Linked DNA regions of Nothobranchius furzeri. The protein of the gene in region 2 purifies or fractionates together with the protein of the main gene of each other region. This does not show direct contact. Links are inferred from orthologs where the notes say so. Each region holds a gene or a part of one and is shown on either strand. Other genes may lie near its edges.

What was found.
Region 1: the proteins of bptf (region 2) and hmgxb4a fractionate together in Homo sapiens (co-fractionation; 3 studies listed by BioGRID, with this or other methods). This does not show direct contact. The link is inferred for Nothobranchius furzeri from reciprocal best matches to the Homo sapiens genes BPTF and HMGXB4.

What each region holds. Positions count from the first base shown.
Region 1 is NC_091752.1:68,081,630-68,085,065, forward strand, and holds the end of hmgxb4a (HMG domain-containing protein 4a), read left to right. Parts: intron 1-1,455; coding exon 1,456-1,552; intron 1,553-2,018; coding exon 2,019-2,182; intron 2,183-2,262; coding exon 2,263-2,385; intron 2,386-2,468; coding exon 2,469-2,513; 3' UTR 2,514-2,818; downstream 2,819-3,436. UniProt on the Homo sapiens protein: Negatively regulates Wnt/beta-catenin signaling during development.
Region 2 is NC_091752.1:67,662,819-67,666,642, forward strand, and holds part of bptf (nucleosome-remodeling factor subunit BPTF), read right to left. Parts: coding exon 3,440-3,824; intron 1,889-3,439; coding exon 1,764-1,888; intron 1,641-1,763; coding exon 1,512-1,640; intron 1,444-1,511; coding exon 1,293-1,443; intron 1-1,292. UniProt on the Homo sapiens protein: Regulatory subunit of the ATP-dependent NURF-1 and NURF-5 ISWI chromatin remodeling complexes, which form ordered nucleosome arrays on chromatin and facilitate access to DNA during DNA-templated processes such as DNA replication, transcription, and repair.

The DNA.
Region 1 (3,436 bases), about 420 kb from region 2:
TGAATCGCTCCTGAAAGTTTCACATAAATCCGTTACTTTGGTTTGAAGCGAACGGCGGCCCTGATGCGCCGCCATTCCTACTGCTGCCCGCGTAGACGTAGCGATGGGTACCGAGTTCGGTACTTTTAAAGGTACCGACCAAATTCTACAGTACCGACTGAGCACAGATTCACGTCATTTGAAACGGGGCCTCGTTTCGGTACCCGTCCTTCATAACGAGAACTTGCCTAGACAGCTGTGCATGCGCAAGAGCGTTACGTCGTCGGTCCCTGCGAGCGAGTTGTAAACAGAGCAGCACGGTAGAAAGAACGCACGCTAAAGCTTGGGTCCACTTCACTAATGGGCCATTCCCATCTGTACCGGGTCGGCCCGGGCCGGGTAGTCCCAGTCGGCCCCAGCCTGGCCCGGTTGATTCCACACATCCTTGTCTTGAGCCCATGTGGGCTGATTCTACCCACCAATCAGAGGCTTGCTCTAATGGAAGGTGTGGATTTGCTGTCAGCAGTGGGTGTGTTGGTCCTGGTCGTCCTGAAGCAGACCCCCTCGAGAAGAGGGCTGAGAATGAGCCTTGAATGGCCCGGAAAAATACCAGGCCACCCAGATATGTAAACAACCTACGCTACCCGGCCCGGGCCGACCCGGTACAGATGGGAATGGCCCATAAATGTGATGGGTAACTGGGTGATGATGAAACCAGCGACAACGATCTAAGTGAGACATCCTCATCTTAATCTGCTCCGGTAGGTAAATAAAATATTTAAGATAACGTTAGCTTGATATGTTAGCTTCCGTTTCGCTAATGGTGCGTTCGCTTTCTCCTCGGAACTCCGAATTTCCGACTAGAAGAACATGAACGCGCTCTAAAGTTTGGGTTCACTTTACTCAAGGCGACGGGTGATTGGGTGAAGATGAAACCAGCGACAACGATCTAACTGTGAGGCATCATCGTTTTAATCTGCTCCAGCAGCTAAATAAACTGTTTAAGATAACGTTAGCTTGATCTGTTAGCTTCCATTGCCACCGTTGTTATCAGCTAATGGTGCGTTCACTTTCTCCTCGGAAATTCTAACTTCCCAGTAGGAAAAATCAAATGAAAAAGGACGGCAAAAGGAATGAAGATACACAGTAAATTTAGTTCACAGTAAAGATGTTTGCTTCAGTTTAATTATCAGCTTATAAAACTACAAGGACGATGTTAAAATACAACCAGTTGTATGTTATTTATCATGATATTTATCAAATATGGTTATATATTGAGAAAAATATATATTTAATTATAAAAGAGAATTAAAATATTAAACACTCAAAAGTATCAAAAATTGGTACCGTTAAGTACCGGTATCGATTCCTAGGTACCGGGAATTAGTACCGGATCGATTCAAATGTCAAAGGTACCCATCCCTACGTGGACGTGGTAGCATACGGAGTGATGTCCTGTGTGTTTTTGTTTTTCAGGTCTGGAGGCAGAAAGCTCAGCATCTGCAGCACAAACAGAACAAAGCTGAGGCCACTACCGTCAAGCACAAAACCTCCAACGACGCCAAAAGCAAAGGTATCTGTGAACTAACCGGGGCTTTCCACCAGACACGTAAACTCTGCGGAACGTCCGAGAACCGTCCAGAGGACGGGTGCTTTTACCGGCAGCGAGGACTGCCCTGGTAGTTAAACTTACGCTTCGGGTATAATTTAACACACAACGCTTCCACAACGCGTCAAGCTCTGCTGTTCAGATCAGACCCAACAGGAAGTCCAACGCAAAAGCAGTTCAAAGCATCCTCAAACTTTCAAAATAAAAGTCCAGTGCAGATTTCCGGTTGCATACCTACTGTTGTTTTTCTCTTTGTTATCTCCGAAACCACGTGGGACCAGCTAGGAATGCTAACCCTTCCTTGTTCTGCGTTTGAAAGTAACAAAGCGCTGATGGGGAAAAGATGCGTGTGATGTAACGTGCCGCTTATGCATCATCCCCCCCCCCAGGGTCGCCCATTGCTTGATAAATTTCTATTTTCTTATGAAAGTTGTAGGAATGGCGGCAGGAGTGGTGTCACCAACCAGAACCCCGGGTGCCATGTCCCTGTCTCCAGCTCGAGTCCCAGATGTTGATCCCATCGATGCGGCGGCTCACCTGCAGCTGCTGGGAGAGTCCTTGTCTCTGATTGGCCACCGCCTGCAGGAAACAGAAGTGAGTTCCCGCGTTTGTTTGCTCCACATCCGTCTAGCTTTCCCCTGAGTCTGGATCTGACCGCTGTTCCGTCGTGTTAGGGGATGGTGGCGGTGTCCGGGAGTTTGTCTGTCCTCCTGGACTCCATCTTGTGTGCACTTGGCCCGTTGACCTGCCTCACGGCGCAGATACCGCAGTTGAACGGGTGTCCGCGACACGTCCTGGTACAGTACACGAGTTTAGATCTGCTTTACTGCGACTCTGTCGACTTTTAAATGACCCTGATGATTTGTTTTGCTTGTGTCAGTCAAACACGCTGGACAACATCGCCTACATCATGCCCGGACTGTGAGTCGACCCGAACGCAGAAGACGGTCCATCTGACCAAAGGTCTCCGTTCCTGGAGAGAGACCCCTAACTGAAGCTGCTGCGTAGTGTCAGAATATTTCTACTTTCTACGTGTTTTTAACGTGTATTTTTAGAAACGTGTCTTATTGAGCTGATTGCTGAATTTTTTTAAATCCAACATTTCATCGGACATCTTCTGACGCCTCGGTTTGGTCTGGACTGTTTCTGTACAGCAGCTTGTTTTATGAATGAATGAGTGTCTTATTTAGCCACTAAGTGGGATTGAAAGGTGATTTTTTACCATTTTAATGTGTTTCTCTGTAAATAGTTACTACCTTGTTGTAGACGCCCTACAGGACTGACGCGCTAACGGCTAGTCTCATGGGAGACCGTGACCATGAGAACAGAGGGCATGGTAGCACCTACTGAACCATATGTGGAGAACTGGAATGAAATCCAGGAAGCAGCGGGAACGCTGGGTCTAAATGTCCTGACATTAAAACATTCAGTTTCTGGCGGGAATGGCTGATGGAGTGGCGGCAGCTGCTCCTGATGGTCCTCAGGATTCAGGAGGCTATGTAGGGTAGGACGGTGACTCTGGCTTTTACACGGAAACGCTTCAATATGTGTAAAAAGACGTCTTAACTGTTAATGTAAAGTATTATTCCTCATGCGTGTTTTATAGGGTTTTTACATTGTGTAAAGTATTTAGATTTACAAGAAATTTGAAAGGAAAAGAACGCGTGTAACATAAAAGCCCGCCTCCATCTAATCTACGTCTCTGTGTCACTTATTTCTGTGAAAGACCGTTGATCTTTTCAGAGGGTTAAAATCCCGGCACGGGTCCTCGTCGGCCACAAAAAGGTTTTAAACGCTAAAAAGTTCAGTTTTTTTGTGTGCTGCTCAGAAATGGGCATCATTGGGTGC
Region 2 (3,824 bases):
TCTGTATTTTCTCCACAGAGTAAGCGGAGCATCTCAGGGAAATAAAGTCTTTGTAAGTCATGAACAACGCTGAGAAAACACTCAGAGAACATCTACACGTTCTTCTGATAAATATATAACTTTAATCTAGAGTCTCGACTCGAACTTCATCTTTTGTTGTTTTGTTTTTTTCATTCAAAATAAAAACGAATAAAACATATAAACAATAATACATAACAACAAATCTAATTTGAATGAAAAGGAGCAGAATGAAGAAAAACATCTTATAACTTCTGCCCCCTTTTCCAGAAGAAATAATCCATTTATATACAATTTCCATTCGTCAGACTCACACACACACACACACACACACACACACACACACACACACACACACACACACACACACACACACACACACACACACACACACACACACACACACACACACACACACACACACACACACACACACACACACACACACACACACACACACACACATTTTAAATCTTTTCCTGTTCTAAATTCCAGAGCGATCATGGTCGTTGGTTTAATTCACATTTTCATAATTATTTAGTACACTCAGTTTGGTACATTTCTGAATATATTAAATGACAGAGTATTTTTATTCCCTTTTAAGGTTATTCCCTAATTTAACACATTTACAGATATATTCCACTCCTTAACTTTAGTTCTAAATCTGGGTTTTGTAAACACATCAGTTTCTTTCAGCGTGTAATTACTAGTTCTCTTTTCAGATATCCCCTGAATGTTTGTTGGCAGAGTACCTAAACTGGCTTTATACATGTTTGTGTGATTTTCCAGTCTTTTAAATCATGAAATTTCAATAATTTATATTTAATATTCAACAGGTTTGATGGATCTCTACAGCCACTATAACTGATGATGCTCAGAGCTCTTTTCTGTAAAATAAATGAGGGTTGTGTATAGTTTTTGTATGTTGTTCCCCAGTGAATTGTACAACACCAACAAACCAGAATTAGTCAGTAAAACTCGACTCTATGTAATACTCCTATGGATTTGGCAATTTTACATTTTCTGTAACTAATACAGGATTTCCATGTCAAGTCTTCATCGATAAGAACTCGAACAAATTTAGTTTTAAAACTTACTTCTGCATATTGTCAAAAGTCAGGAATAAAAATCTGTTTTCAGCTCATAAATGATGCATTTACATTTAAAATGCAGGACTTTGTAAAGTCACACACAAGTGCGGACTTTCTCAAACGCTTGCTGAACTTCTCTGCGACGGCGCTGACCCGCAGCCGTGCCTGAAGCGTGCTGCTCACCTCTCTGCGAAGGCTCGGATCTCCCACAGCTCCAGCTCCTCTTCAGGTACCCACGTCTCCACGGCGACGGGGCCAGTCTGCTTGGCAGGCTCCTGCTTCTTCGGCCTCAGAGCGCTTGAGCGCAGACCTTTCCTCTGCGGGGTTGGCGTTTCTGTTCACGGACGTAATGGAGTGGTTAGTTAATAACGTTTAAGTCATGATGACGGTGAGCATTCCCACCTTTGGGAGCATCCTTGTTCTCGAGGGGACAGATGATCTTCCTGATGCAGTATTCCGAGCGAATGCCGTACAGCCCCACGTCTCTCCTTTTGATGATCTCGGTGGTGACGACGTTGGTTTCTGTGGTTTCTAGAACAAAAACACAAACTTGTCCCGACTCATACGGACGTTCCATCCCATAATGAACAAGCTCCCTCAGTTCCTCGTGACTACCTGACATAACAGGTAGGTGAAGCGATAGAGGTTGCTCACCTTTACGCGTCGTCCCGACAGCTGAAGAGGGCTTCACCGCCATGTCGTCCCACCTGAGAGAGGCCCACAGCAGCCTCAGCATCAAGCTAACGCCGGCCAGAGACTTCACCGTCTGGAGGCGGTACCTGAGGAGGAGACAGCCGCTGAGAAGGTGTTCACGCTTCCACCATCCACGAGTCTAACAACCAGCTTCTGGCATTAGAACAGATCTAATATCACCAAATACATCCAGATGTTCTCCACCTTATCGACCTGCTAACATGTCACTAACGACAGCTGAATTTAACCTTCTCTTGATTCTCAACTCGGCATAAAAATCAAACTTTTAACCAAAGAAACAAATGAATAACCTGAATTAACTTAAATATTCGGGATGTACGGAAAGATCGATATGGCAATATATCGCGATATTTGATTATATCAAAAGCCGTGTGATTAATTTTTGGAAGAATTTACATTCAAATAGTTGTGTTTTCTTTTGGTGCAATTCAAACACCTGCCACTAGTTGGCAGCGGTGTGCAGTGGGTTTTATTTCCACCACTGAAATGTAAATCCCTCTGTTATGGTTCAGATATCTCATGTAAACATGTTGCATATCGATTAGGACAGTTTTTTTTAATTTTCCTAAAATAACTTCAGTCTTAAAAAAAAAAAATCACTAATATCGTCTGATTGAATTTATCGCAATATGTCGTGATACATTGCCTCTTCTCCCGTGTCGTGATACATATCGCCAAAATTTCACCAATACACATCCCTACAGTCAGGACACAGATTCACGGCGAGGCGTCCTTCCGGTACTACGGTCCTCGCCTCTGGAACGAGCTGCCAGGGGACCTCAGGGCCGCAGAGAGCGTTCATGTTTTTAGAAACAGGCTCAAGACCCATCTTTTTAGCTTAGCTTTTAACTGATTACTATCACTTTTTAAATTAATTAATTAGGTTATTTATTTTATGCATTCTTTTATTATATGTGCTATTTTTAAACCGCTTTTATTTATATATATATAAATTAACCATTGATTTATGATCAACATTATTTGAATATCTATATAACTTTTTTTAATTAAAATTTTCATTTTAGCTCTTATGATTTTATATTTTAACCTTAATTTAACCTTTTGCCGGTGTTTCCTCTGTGGGAGCCCTCTGCCCCCGGGACGGAGGTCGGCTGTGGCGGCCTGGGTGCTTTCCAGGTGTGCCTGGGAGGAGGTGGGGGTCTCCGCCCTCCCTGCCCTGGGCGCCCTGTGTCTGTGCCTGGGCTGCTGCTGTCGGGGCGGATGGCTCCCCTGATGGCGTTTCCTTATCTTAGCTGGTCTGGCTCATCTAAACTCAGTCCATAGTTTTTCCCGGGGGGGGGGGGGGGGGGGGGGGTGCGCATGTGTGTGTGCGTGCCGGAGGATGAGTGTTGTGAAGGGCTTTTTATTGTCAGACTGTTTTTAAAATTCTGGGGATGGGAGGGAATGCAGGGCCTTTTTAATTTGTTAAGCACTTTGAGTTACATGCATTGTAGGATTAAGTGCTACATAAATAAAGTTTGATTTAATTTGATCCCTAATAAATAACGTCAACAAAAATATTCATCGTATTTCTAACTCGGCATTGATTTACCTTAATCTCTTATAGAGAATAAAAGCTCTGAGAAAAAAGTAACTCTTCTTGATTCGTCACTAACCTCCACGCAATCCCAAAGGTGGGTCGCGGTGATGGGTAGGGCCAAATGTCCAAAGCGGGTTTGGCGTTGTAGCTAAAGATCAGCACCTCTTTAATGCCCGCCTTCCTCGCCATCCTCTTCAGGTCGTCGTTGGGCAGCACGAAGATGCTCTTCTTGCTGCTCTTGGTCACAAACTTACGGTAGGATGGTAGCGCCATGCCCGAGCGGGCCTTCTTGGACTTGAAGAAGCGGAGAAGGCTGACCCTGTCTCTAGTGGAGTACTCTTTACTGATGGTCATGGAGCTGGGCGATACGGGACCAGAGGAGCCCGATTTTGTGTCGTTTAGTTTTTTCTTATGGAAGCTAGCGGTTCCTGAGCTGGGCTGGGCGGCAGCGACGACAGAGG